Cricetulus griseus: one gene and its partner. The protein of the gene in region 1 interacts with the protein of each later gene in a biochemical or structural test. Links are inferred from orthologs where the notes say so. Each region holds a gene or a part of one and is shown on either strand. Other genes may lie near its edges.

The links.
Region 2: the proteins of Npr2 (region 1) and Nppc form a complex in vitro, tested with the Homo sapiens proteins (3 studies listed by BioGRID). The link is inferred for Cricetulus griseus from reciprocal best matches to the Homo sapiens genes NPR2 and NPPC.

Annotation. Positions count from the first base shown.
Region 1 is NC_048595.1:99,893,970-99,901,744, reverse strand, and holds the start of Npr2 (atrial natriuretic peptide receptor 2), read left to right. Parts: upstream 1-3,329; 5' UTR 3,330-4,104; coding exon 4,105-4,771; intron 4,772-5,492; coding exon 5,493-5,698; intron 5,699-7,775. UniProt on the Homo sapiens protein: Receptor for the C-type natriuretic peptide NPPC/CNP hormone. Has guanylate cyclase activity upon binding of its ligand. May play a role in the regulation of skeletal growth.
Region 2 is NC_048595.1:438,341,207-438,347,217, forward strand, and holds Nppc (C-type natriuretic peptide), read right to left. Parts: upstream 2,424-6,011; coding exon 2,334-2,423; intron 1,941-2,333; coding exon 1,650-1,940; downstream 1-1,649.

The DNA of each region.
Region 1 (7,775 bases):
GCTATCCCTGGAATAGTGGGGAACTGTCACAGCATCAGAGGGGAGCACTAAGGTCAGTAGACTCTGGGTTTCCCCGGGCTTTGCATGCATTGCAGCAGATCTTACTGTCTGCATCAATAGGAACAGCAGAAGCTTGGGTAACTGGAATACACAGACAACCAAATTCTCAATTATGATACTTTTAACCTTCCTTTCAAAATCAAAGAACAAAAAAACCTTTCACTGGTTGTTAAAAACCTCATTAAGCTGAGAGATGGCTCTGTTGAAAAGAACCTGCTGTGCAAACCCAAGGACCTGAGCTTGGACCCGCACCCAGGTGAACGCTGTGTGTGGCAGTGTGTGCCTGTAATGCTAGCTCTGAGGAGGTGGGATAAGGAGGAGTGCTTCGGTTGCAAGGTAGCAAGTTTGGCCAAATTTGTGAGGGGGTGGGGAAGGGAGAGGGAGAAGGGATTGACATGTGAAGCAAGCTTGTTCCTAATTTGAACAACAACAACAACAAAAATAAAGGATTGCAAAGTCAAGGGCAGAATTCTCTAAATAGGTAATCACAGTCCAAGTTTTTAATAATTTTATTGTGCATTTAAATAGACCCAGTGTTATTATTATTGTATCAATATAAGTGGCTGTGAGTACTAAAATTATCATTGCTTATAGTTATGGTGAATTATTTCAGAAATTAGGTGGTAAAGAAACTCAGAATATTTGTACTTTTCTATGAAAAAAAGTAAAATATAATATCTGATCATCAACTTAACACTGTATTAAAAATTACACAGCCAAAAAAAAAAAAAAAAAAGGGCTGGAGAGATAGCTCAGAAGTTAAGAGCACTATCTGCTCTTCCAGAGGTCCTGAGTTCAATTCCCAGCAACCACATGGTGGTTCCCAACCATCTGTTATGAGATCTGGTGCCCTCTGCTGATGTGCAGATATACCTGGAAGCAGAATGTTATATACATAATAAATAAATAAATAAAATCTTAAAAAATCCTCTAAAAATTTTGTGAGCATCATATCCAGTGAGAGATTCTGTCTCAAAAACTTAAGTGGAGAGAGAGGACAACTTGTGTGGACCTCTGTTTTGTTTTTTGTTTTGTATGCGCACATATATAAACACACCCGTGAAAACACACCACAATGTATACACAATAAAATGAATAACATTAAAAATCCCATTAAATAATTTAACTTTTGTGTCTGGCCCCTTTAACTGTCTAGCATACACAGCCCATTGAAAGGAAGAAAGAGGGACTTGGTGAAACTTGAACGTTTAACCCTTGAGATAATGTCTGATCCAAAATACTGAGAAAAATTACACAACCCTGCTGGTACTTTCTGGGTGACTGATGGTTGTTCCTCACGGGGATTTGCAGACATAGCCCTGAAAGACTGTCTGGGTCTTGGTGGCCACGACACCGCAAAGAGCCTCACCTTAGGAAGCAGGGAACCACGGTTCCAGTTTCTGCCCCACTACTGAAAAGCCATTTGGAATTAGCGGGAAGGGAATCGCGGCTGTGTGACATATCTCTTGGAGACTATTTTTGATTATTTCTAAATAAGAAGTTTGGAGCCATTCTACCTCTGGCGTTCTGTGAGTCGTCAAAGTTGTGTCATTTTTAAACCTTCTCTCATGAGAACAATGATTTGGCTGGCTGGTCTGGAGTTAGAAGAATGTCCGTATTGTGGTACACACATGTCACTCCATCTAGGAGACTGAGGCAAGAGCCTCATGAGTTAGAGGGCAGCCTGAATTATGCATGGGACCCTGTTCTAAATGAGTAAATAAATGAGAGTTAAGAGCCATTTTCTTGGAGATATGCTCTTGCTACTTAGCTCCGGCTGTCTCTGAACTCACTATGTAGCCTCGGCTACTCAAATTCATGATCATTCTGCTCCAGTCCTCCCAGTCCTGAAATGACAGGCCTGAGAGTCAAGTCTTTTTCATATTGTCACATCACCGTTGTGACTGTGATTCTTTTTCTTGCCCAGATAGAAGATGATTGCTTTTCACCAGCAGTGTTGGCAGCCTGGAACAAGAGTTCTCTTCCCTTGGTGTTAAAGAGAAAGTGTTGCCCATAGGCTTCTATTTGTATTGATCTTCAGGCAGGGGAACTTGTCCCTGGGGCTTGCCTACTGCCTCTGTGTTCACTTTGTGGACCAGGGTTTTCAGTTGTATGCCCCCAGAGGTAAGGGTTGAAACAATTAGCTTCTTTCGCGCTGGTGCCTAAAGCAGTCAGAGCGCATGCCTTTGAATAAAATGACCCTTTCCTTACATTTCTACCCGAGCCACTAGGTGTCGCCTTCATCTCAGAGAAAGTGTGTTGGTCCTCAGCCTGCAGTCACTCCCTCTCTGCTGGGGAGCTTCTAGCTTCTTGGCACTGTGAATTCTGGAGAAGAGGCTCCAAGGGGGAGAGAAATTGGCTGTCAGCACGGAGGAGAATGTGTTTATGTGCATGTCCTTTATGACAATTTGAGAACTCCCCAAGGTCCCATAGGAGTCCCCTCAGCAATGATGTCATCCCTCACAAGCTGTTCCTCCAGATGGGGTCAGCACTCCAGATGTGGGGTACCTGGGTGAACTTTCTAGTCAGGAATCTTAGGAATGGGGTGGAAAACAAGGTGGGGTACAATGGGCCTTCATTGCTGGGGTCTGTTAGGCTTAGTCAATCTATACACTTCTGTCAAGTGTGGCTCAGGGAGACAAAAGGACGAGGCCCTGGAACAGATGGCTGGTGAATCCAATAGGCGTGAAAGTACGGCCATGGAGACAGAAACAGAGTGGGGAGTCGAGTCCTCGGTAAGAGGAAGACTTCATAAAGACTCTAGAAGAATGTAGAGGTGCCACAAGGGCCTGCCTGTCTTTCGGCTGCCTGAGGAAGAGGTCCCCAGCGTTTAGGAGATTGGTAGAGATTTCCCTACCTAGGAATAGATAAACGGATACCCAATGCTTGGGGATTCCTGACAGCTTCCTGGAGACTGGAGCGTCTGGGGAAATTTGGTTGAGCGAATGGACCCCAAGAAAAGCGGGGTGTCCATCCGGACAGGGAGAAGACAGGCCCAGGGGTCCCCGGCACGCGTGAGGTGGAAGCAGCCCTGCGGACAAGGGACTTGGGGGACTCCCGGGAACCTCGGTGGCCTAGAGGCCCGGGTGCGAAGCCCTCGGGGCGCTCACCGAGTGGTTTGGGGCCTGGGAGGTCCCTGGGCGCCGGGCAGGGGTGGGGGGGAGGCAGCAGCAGCCGGAAGGTGGGGCCGGGCGGGGAAGGGAGGGGAGAGGGAGGGCGGGGTCGGGCGGCCTGCCGGGGAAGTCACACTCGGCCGCCGCCGCGGGCGCAGGGAGCGGAGACGCGCCGGGCCGAGGCGACCTGACCTGGACGAGCGGCGCGCGCGGGGGCCCAGGCGGGGGGCGGGAGGCAGCGCGGGACGCCGGGCCGGGAGAAGCGGAGCCGAGCGAGAGGAGCTGGGGACACGGGCGGGGCCGCCGCAGCTCCGGATGGGACCAGCGCCCGGGCCCGTTAGTCCAGGCAGGAGCTTCGGGAGAAGCCGTCACTGGGAGAGTCACCCCGGCCTTTCTCTGCCCTCTGGCCCAGGCCTCGCTTCGCTCCCTGCCTGCCCATGTCCCAATCCTTCCGCGGCGGGCGCCCTCCCACCTCAGCCCGGGGCTCCAGCTTTTCTCAGCTCTTTGCCCTCCCGGCCCGGTCAGCTGTGAGGTGCCCCCAGGCCGTTTCTTTGTACCAGCCTCCCCCAAGTCCCCACCCCATCCCAGGCTTAGATCCCCCCCTTCTCGGCTTGGGATTGTCAGGCCACTTCACCCCTCACTGTCCTCATCCCGGTCGCAGGCCCCCTTGGTCCCTCCCTCCTTCTGCCACCCTACCCTTAGTCCATGGTCCTTGCTGTAGGCTGGTAGCCCACTCCTTCCCGGCCCAGGCTTCCCCCCACCCCCTTCTTGCGTGGTCCCCAACTCTTTCTGTATCCGAGTCGACTAAGCTTGTCCCCACTTCTCTTCTCGGCCCTCTTCCCCAGGCTCCAGGCTGGGTGGTGCTTGTGCCTGCCCAGTAGGCCAGAGCGGCCCCTGGTTCGGGGGGCCGTGGGTCAGCTGCGCTATCCCCATGGCACTGCCATCACTGTTGCTGGTGGTGGCAGCCCTGGCAGGTGGGGTGCGTCCTCCGGGGGCGCGGAACCTGACGCTGGCGGTGGTGCTGCCAGAACACAACCTGAGCTATGCCTGGGCCTGGCCCCGGGTGGGTCCTGCCGTGGCACTGGCTGTGGAGGCACTGGGCCGGGCATTGCCCGTGGACCTGCGGTTTGTCAGCTCCGAACTAGACGGCGCCTGCTCTGAGTACCTGGCACCACTGCGCGCTGTGGACCTCAAGCTGTACCATGACCCCGACCTTCTGTTGGGCCCCGGTTGTGTGTACCCTGCTGCCTCTGTGGCTCGGTTTGCCTCACACTGGCACCTTCCCCTCCTGACTGCGGGTGCAGTGGCCTCTGGTTTTGCAGCTAAGAATGAGCATTATCGTACCCTGGTTCGCACTGGCCCCTCTGCTCCCAAGCTGGGTGAGTTTGTAGTGACATTGCACGGGCACTTCAATTGGACTGCTCGAGCTGCCTTGCTGTATCTGGATGCTCGAACAGATGACCGGCCCCACTACTTCACCATCGAGGGCGTCTTTGAGGCCCTGCAGGGCAGCAACCTCAGTGTGCAGCACCAGGTGTATGCCCGAGAGCCAGGTGGCCCTGAGCAAGCCACTCACTTCATCAGAGCCAACGGGCGCAGTAAGTGTGGCCCCCGGGCTGTTTTAGGAACTGGGGAGGAGGGCCAATGTGTCCCTGGAGCACAGCACAGAAAAGTAGAGAGAGATAGGCACGGACAAGTCATGTGTAATGGTTGGGATGGAGGAACTTACGAAAACAGAGCACCTGGGAGAGGGCCTGGGTTTGGACAGAGCCTTAGTATCATAGGTACAGATCGGCAAGGCTGGGACTTGGGGAGTGAAGAGTTTGGGGAAGCAATGTGGGTGCTTTGAGTAGTGGATATGGGTGATATCTGCTCTGAAATGTGCACCTGTTTGTGAGCAGAGACTCCTTAGACTGGTGCACCAAGGTATCCTTGTAGCACAGAGATGACTCCGTGGGTTTGGGGCTCTGCAGACTTGGTTGGGAAAGCAGACAAAGCTCACACAAAAATTGTGAGCACAGTGCCTGTGAGCCACGGGAGAGGCAGGTGGGAGAGGAACGTGGGGAGCTGTGAGATGGAGCTCTGGGGAAAGGAGTCACCACTCCGTTCTCTGAGGTCTGGAGTCGGGCTCTGACTTTTGCCAGATGGTCCATGTGGCCCAAGGGCACTTTATGACATGAGCTCCAAGGGGGAGGATGGGAACATCTGTTGGGTGGTCGATAGGTAGGGCACTCTCTTGTAATGGGATGATACAGAACGGGGGCTGGTGGGGGACCTGGGCGTTGTCTCAGAGTGCCCTTCTGTCATGTGCACTCCCAGTTGTGTATATCTGCGGCCCTCTGGAGATGCTGCACGAGATCCTGCTTCAGGCCCAGAGGGAGAACCTGACCAATGGGGACTATGTCTTCTTTTACCTTGATGTCTTTGGGGAGAGTCTCCGAGCAGGCCCCACACGTGCAACAGGCCGGCCATGGCAGGACAATCGAACTCAGGAACAGGCCCAGGCCCTCAGAGAGGCCTTTCAGGTATCTTTGGAACCCAAACCAGAAATGGGGAGAGGCACTGGTTGGAAGGTCTTTCTCTCACAAGACCACAGAAGCTCAGGAACAGGGCAGGACTTGGGAGCTATGGAAGGGAAGTGATCAGAAAGTTTCTATGCCTGGTGTCACTCTTTTTTACCAGGGTATGTGACTGTCACTTAGTGTGCATGCCAAGGCTGACTGCCCCCTCCAGATCTTAGGGTGCTTTCCTGAGTGCCAGCAGTGAGCCAAAATGCAGGAAGCAAATGATCTGAGCCTTGCCTTATGGGAGAGGCAAGGTGAAATTATAGCACAGTAAGTGAGGACACAAATTTGGGCATGAAGCAGATATCAGGATCAGTGATTAAGGGATGAAGGGTAGATATGGGCTGGGATGAGGAAAGTCTTTAAAGGAATTTAGACTGTTGTAATTTTCATGGCAGAAGCCATGTTCACGGAGTGGTGGGATAAGGATCTAGAAGCCCATGCAAGGGAAAGGTAAGAGTTTACATGTTTGGCCTGGTAAGAAAGGAGGGTTCACTTAAAAAAAATGTTTTTGAGACAGGGTTTCACTCATGCCTTGAGCTGGCAGCCCCAGCCTTCCCACTGGGATCTCAGACATGGACTTCAAAAAAAAAAAAAAAAAGTCCACTTAAAGCACTCCTAGGAAATAAGTGACAAAGACAGATTAAAAGGGTGTTGGCCGTTAAGGAATAGGATTTGAGTTTTTATTTATTTATTTTGGTTTTTCAAGACAGGTTTTCTCTGTGGCTTTGGAGCCTTTCCTGGAACTTGCTCTGTAGACCAGGCTGGTCTCAAACTCACAGAGATCTGCCTGCTTCTGCCTCCCAAGTGCTGGGATTAAAGGTGTGTGCCACCAACGCCCAACTGGATTTGAGTTTTTGTATGACAGTAAAGTATAACATAGTCCAGGTTGTGTTAGAAGAGGAGATGGACTGTAGGCTGTCAGGGAATGAGGAGATATGGCTTGAAGCAGGACTATGCTAGGAAGAATGGAAAGAGATGAATTTATAAAAGAACTCGTGGAGAAAGTCGGTGTTGCCATGCATTTCCCACTTCTGCCCCAAACTTTCAACAGCCTGCTCCCTACAGAATAAAATCCCAACTCCTAACCATGACACTTAAGCCCTGGTAGCTTGCTCTCTGCTATCGTTGCAGAAGTCCAGCTGACCCACCCCTTGCCAGCCCAGGCTCCCTAACCTCCTGCCTCTGCGTGATTTGCTCCTTTTGTCTGCATCTTGTTTTTCTCCTTCCCTCGTTCTGAACCTTCTTCCTGAGATCATGGTCATGAGTCTCTGTCTGGTTCCCTCACCAGTTCTTACTGATTTGTGTATATAAGTGTTTCCTATTTATTTATCCATAGCCCTCAAAGAGTATTTGAGGTGGCTTATGGAATGACCTTAAGATCCTTTCCACTGAGATTCTTTGGTTCTAAGCAGAGTATACAAGGGCTGGGCCTGGGTGGCCATTCTTCTCCAGTGAGTAAGTTTTATGTGGCTGTGATTATATATTTGGTTGTGACTGGTGAGCACTCACTGTGAATGACATATCTGTTTGCATGCCTGCCTATGAGTCTGTGACTGTCATACTTGAACATGGGCAGTGATAGGACAGCTTTTGTTTATGTTGTAACTTTTTCCAAAAACAACCATCTCACCTGTGTCTATATAATGATTCCATGTTCTGTAATTCTCAGAGCAGTATTTTGCCTACTAAGGAACGATTCCTAAATCCCAGCTTGAGCTGAGTTTCTTACTCAGCCCACTATAGAGCACATTACTTAGTTCATGTTCGAGTCCCTTAGAGACCAGTTAGTTCATTGCTAGTATTCCCTGAATGTCACCTAACTCAGTACTGGTATGCAATACAGAACATACTAGGACTACTCTCTGTCTTTTTGGAGTTTACAATTAGTAGGCACGACAGACAAGAAACAAGCCTATTCATTGTTGATAAGGGTTACCAGAAGAAGAAAAACAGTTGAGTGGCATGAGAAGAAAAGGGACTGAACCTTGGCTAGTTCAGAAAAGGCTGGTCTACACCTTCCCTGGATCCTTACTCT
Region 2 (6,011 bases), about 340 Mb from region 1:
GCTGACCTTCCCTGGTCAAAGGGGGTGCAGAAGCCTTAAATGTCTCGATTTTCCATCCTTAGCGTTTCTCACCACCCTGTGCCCACAGATGCCCAAGACTAAACCCAAGGCATCTTCAGGGAAGCTCATCCCAGGCACTAACTCTAAAGTCCATTCTTCAGACTTCATCTCTTAGGTATTCACACAGTACAGAGCAAAAGGCATCACAATGGCAGCATCAAGGCTTGCCGGTAGGTACCAGAATCACCTCTCTCCCTGAATGAAAGAGAGCAGAGATTCCCAACAGCCTGCAGAATGGGGGTGAAGTAATGCGGCCTGCTCAAGACTGGGTACAGAGAGGAGAGGGCTAGTTGAGGTCTAGAGCCGGGGCGCTGTGTGGAGCTGCTGAACTGGGGCGTGTGTTTCTCTGGTCATTGACCAATATTTCAAGATCCTTTCTGGGTATGGTGTGGGTTCCCGAGGGTCTGTCCCTTAAGTTAATATGGGACCCAAACACGTTCATAACGTGCTGTTCTTCTGGGAAGGTCTCTCATGCTGTGAAGAAGGTTCCTGCTACCCCCTATTCCCTATGGGGAAAGACTGGCCACTGGCCTCTGGGTTGGGGAGAGCAGCCTCTCCACCCCTGGGGTGAGACAGACAGGGTATGGGGCAAACAATGGCAGCTGGTGAGTAGGAGCCAAAGCTAGGAAGCAGTAGGGGCCTGCTTGCTCCGTCCTTTCACATGCTCAGGGATGGAGAGAGGGAGGAGATTCAGAAGGGTCTTTGTAGTAAGTCACAGAGTAGCCTCAGGTGGGCATGTTGGTAAGATGAAAGTTTCCATGCTGAGTGGAGGGATGGGGACAGGGTTGGTAAAAACCTCATTTAGGATACACTGAGTTTGAGGTTAGCGCAAGAAATAAGACTTAGCTTGTTCCTTTGCCTCTCTTGAAACAGGGTCACAAGCCCCAAGGTTCCTCTCGGAAGCCCCAGGGCTGCAGCATCAGGACCCTGGATAGACCAGTTTGCCCACAGTTGGGTTTAGAGCAGGGGTAAGATTCAGAATGCCCGAGGCAGAATGGTGTCTTGCTGCTGCCCACAGAGGCTCTTCTCTCCACTGTGAGGAGCAGGCATAGCTGCATGCCGGCCTCACTTCAGGGACATTGGGCTCAGAAAGGTGTCCTGGCACTTGACGTTCTGGCTGTCTGCAGAGCTGCAGATAAACTTACTCCGGGCTGGTGGAACACCTTTCCCTTTTTTTTTTTTTTCCAGGGTCTCTCTAACAATTTCCCAGTTGGCTGAGTTGGGGCTAACATTGCTAGCTAGTCTGTAGTTCAGGGTGGGGTTGGGGACTGCGTCTACATAAGCCTGTTTATGCCTTTCTAGAGGAAGCCAGATGGGGTCCTCTAAGCTGAACCCGATCTTTGACCTTGCCCATATACTCTGACCACTTCATTTTCTTAATCTGTAAAATGGAATAAGTGAGGTAGCAGACAAATGTTTAGCTTACACTTGATCCCATGTCCGGATTGGTTGGGGGAAGGCCACAGAACACAAGGAGGAAACCAAACAGCCTAAGCTAGATGGTAGTAGGGCTAGGTTCTCCCTGGTGCAGAGCGAGGCGATCTGGAAGAGTCCCATGGTGTTACTCACCGCCGCCAGGGGTCGCTGCACTAACATCCCAGACCGCTCATGGAGCCGATCCGGTCCAGCTTGAGGCCAAAGCAGCCTTTGGACAAGCCCTTCTTGTTGCCGCCTTTGTATTTGCGCGCGTTGGGGTGCTCGTGCAGAAGGCGGGCCCAAGCAGCCCGGGACTTGGTGTCCACACGCAGGTCCCGGAGCAGTCGCGATCGGTCTCCCTTGAGATTGGCGCCCCCGCCGCCTGGAGTCTTGTCACCCTTTTTCTGATTGCCACCAGCTGCCTGGGGCTCCGCTAGCTCCTCCCCAGGAGGGGTTCGCGGGACCTGTCGGAGAAAAAGAGTGGGCAGGTGAAAGAGTGCACGGATGTAACGCAGGTGACTTTTGCTGGCTCCAGAGTGGCGTGACCCTCCCCAGCCGTGAGCGCGCCCCCACGGTTGCGGGAGAGCTGAGTCCGGCATCCACCTGCCACGCAGCCCTTGCTCCTGCTCCTTGAGGGGGGGGGGGAGCTTGCCCTTTCTGTGCCGCTTGTCCTGCTGGGCACATTAGGGCACGGGAGATGTGCATGGCATTCTCCTGAAGCTGAGGAATGATTCAGAGAAGTCCTAGCTTTGAGGGCACAAGTCCGAGGGATCTGCCTTTCCGGGCTCTCTGCTCCCTCCTGCGCGCCGCATCCTCTCACGCCCCTCACAAGTCCAGCTTCCCGCAACAGTACTCACCTTCGGTGGCGTCCCGGGCTTGGCTTCGGAGGACCGGAGTGAGAGTAGCGTGAGCAGCAGGGCACAGGCGATCAGCTGGGAGAGGTGCATGGTGCCGATGGGGCCGAGGGGTACAGACGGTCTGCAGCCCGGACGGCCGGTGAGCAGTCCGACAGGCGGATGCGGAGCAGGCTGGCTAGGCGAGCGCAGGTCCCACTGCTGCACGGCGCCGGCTGGGTGCGCTCTGAGTCCGTGGCTCGGTTGGTGCCTTTATAATCCAACCTGCCGCTGATGTCATCTTCCCGCCCACCCGGCCGCCAGGGCCAATGGCACAGCGCACGCGGCCGAATCGACGGCCAGGAGGGGGGCGCGGGGGCTCCCCCTTCTGCTCCCACCCACATCCCACCTCCAAAGGATCCCGCGGCTCGGCCGACCGGCTGCGCTCAGAGCCACAAAGCGGCGCGCACAAGGGAACTCCATTTGTAGAATGCCCTCGCTCTGGGCTTCTAGGCGTCCAGCGCGCTGTGTACCGGCTGGGTCGTCACTGCGCGCACTGTTCCTGGTATGCATCTGTACTAGTCTTGCAGGTGCAAAGGCTTAGAAGAAATGTCCCTTATGCAAAATTACGCAGGTAGAAAGTTGGTGCAGACCGAAATCCAAGTAGATTGCCCTGTTTCCAAACTCTTCATTAACGCCTGACACGTGCTAGCCAGGGTGGAAGGGCTGACCTCCTCCACACAAGGCCCTTGCACTGGGGTCGAAGAGGATGGAGTCTAGAGATTCCCAGTGGGAGAGCTTGTCGGGTGTAGCTGTAAAGGGAGATGTAAGCCTCCAGTACCAACCAGTACTCACCAGTGCAAGGATGTCATCAATCCATGTGTATGAGCCAGGAATTCGTGTGTGTGTGTGTGTGTGTGTGTGTGTGTGTGTGTGTGTGTGTGTGTGTGGGCGATGGAGAGGCGTTAGGAGGCTAGGAGGCAGGTGGACTTCCTTCAATGGTGTACTGACTCTGCCTGCAGGTGGGGATGTCCACTTTAGTGTCCTGGACACCATAAGAAACTATAGGCAGCACTGGGGTTTGCCCAGCTCCAAGCCTCAACAGGCCATCATGGCCATTGAGTTTGGGGCTGTGGAGAATTGCCTGCTGGCTATGGACACCAGACTGCTGCACACAATTTCTCTCCTTGGCCTGGAATCTTGATCCCTCAGACTCAGGGGAGCCCTGTAACGTAGCAGCCTCCAGAGAGCTTGTAGTCTCAAAATTTGAGTGATGGGCAGGAGTTTGTGTCCTTTGTGCGGAACAGGACTCAAGCTTGAGAGAGGAAAAGGAACATTCACAGGGATCTGCCTTTCCGGGTGCCTGTGGTCTCTAGAAGGGAAGAACCCTGAGGAGGGATTTGGGAGGCAGGAGCCAGAGTTAGTGTTTTACAGAAAGATGGAGGTGGAGGGCAGTGGGAAGACTGCTGGGCGACCATAGGTCTGGAGAACAAATGTTCTGGAAGGTACAGAGGAAGCAAGGGCATAGTGTTTGCCTTGTTCTTCCTTGTCCGTTCCCAACATGGCACCCCAAAGTCCCCAAATGAGGACCACAAGCTCCGTCCAGCCTTTCGTTTAGGAAAAGACTCACGGTGAAACCTGATTTGGGTTAGTATGTATCTATATACTAGATAGACATATCTATCACCTGGAGAAAGATCTAGACATCAGCTTCAAGTCCTTTCAGTCCTGGAAGATTGGCTGCCCACCTCCATGCTCCTCCCACACATGGCCTTTTGATGTTAATACTTATGAAATGACAGCCCAACTGCATTTGAGAAGGGAAGAGAAGCAAGGAAGGCGAGGGTGACACCCTCACTCCCGTGTGGAACTACATCCTACACTCCACTCTCCATCTCATCAAGGGAAATTTTTAAAAATTGTGTGTGTGTGTGTGTGTGTGTGTGTGTGTGTGTGTGTAGGCATATGTGTACTCTTGTGCACATGTGGAGGTCAGAGGACAACTTTCAGGAGTCAGTTCTCTTCTTCCATCCTGAGGAAGCCTGGGGATGGAACTCAGGCTTCCAAGAGGCAAGTATCTTTACACTATAAGCCGTTTCACTGACCCTGCAAGTGACTCTTTTGATGACCTGTGGCTCTTGAGCTGTGGTCATTTACGGTAGACCCTTGATGAGTTAACTTTGGGCTAGGCTTCCCTGTAGCCTCCATTGCTACTACTGTTGCAGGAACTGGGTGGACAGGCAGCTAGTCTGCAGGGTCTTTGGGGCAGGGTGGTGATGAGTACATAAGTGCTTACAGACCAAAGGTTTCATGCTCCTCATGGCTTCTCTTCTGGGCCTAGATTTGGGATCTTAGCTCCCTTTCTCTGGGAAATCCACTTTTCCTTCCTTCGACTCCAGGGACTTGGTGGAGGTGAGGGAGCAGTGGGGTCGACCACTGAGCAGCTGAAATGAATTCCTCAGGTATAGTACTGGCTCCTCAGTGTTAAAAATTTCCCCAGGGGCTGGAGAGATGACTCAGCAGTTAGGGCCATGTATTGCTCTTGCAGACAACCTGAGGTTGGTCCCTAGCACATGGTTGAGGGGGGAACCTCACAACCACTTGTAACTCTAGCTCCAGGGAACCCAATGCCTTCTTTTGACCTCTGCGGGCAACCGTGCTCATGTGCACATACCCGCACACAGACACAGACTTGTACACATAATTGATGATTAAAAAAAGCTCCCAATAAACAAAAGTCCTCAATTCCTCTTGACTCAAAGGAGGGAGGAAAGACCCTTGGGGCTCAAGGGGGGTTAGCAGTGTTGTAGGGCATCTGATCATTTGTCATTCATGACTGTCTCAAATACCTTCATGGCTGCCCTTTGGCCTGCTCCATAGTCACTGAGTTGCATCCCAGCAAAGAAGGTGACACAAAACAGACACTGGCTTTATCAGCTGGGAAACATGGTGCTGGAGATGAGGCCGTGTCAAGAGGGCTTCTTTCTCAATCTCAGCCAACAGGTCAGGGTTCCCAGAGAAAAAGTCAGAACTGAGCATGCCACACAGGGAGAAAATGGAGGTAGAGTGACCTCCTTGGGTTAACTGGAGGACTAGGGCTTAGGAGCATTGTCTAAGAAACAAACAAACAACAAAACCCAACCAAATGAGAAGCTTGAAAGGACAACCCTATGACGCCGAGACAGACAGAAAGCCAACGGTGGTGAAGAAGCCAAGAGCAAGGGAGGGTAGAAGGCTTGGAGTAGGGCACTCAGTGGAAACAGACCCAGAAGAGAGGCAGCTCTGGGGTTCAAAGTAGTAACTGTGCAAGATGTGACAGAGGGTTTTCTCCACAGTCACTGTGTACTTGGGGTGGGAGAGTAAGTGGGCCTGGGGGTGCAAGAGGGTTAAGGCAGATGGAGTGGCCACTGTGGGGCGGGGCAGATAGAGCAGTGAGAAGTAAGTCCGATAAACACTGAACGATGCCAAACCTCCAACTTCAGGCATCGAGTATGGTGTGGCCAAGACCCTTCTCTCTCTTGGATCTTTGAAGGGCAGGGACCTAAGGATAAAGACCCTGTCCTCATGACCCCACTTCCCCTTTTCCTTTCCAAGAAGGGGAAGGAAAAGCATGCCCACTCCAGAGGACTTTCCTGGGATAGCTGCTGTCCAGTCCAGAAAGGATGGAAAGCCGAAGAGGTCCGATTATAAAGGTGAAAGCTC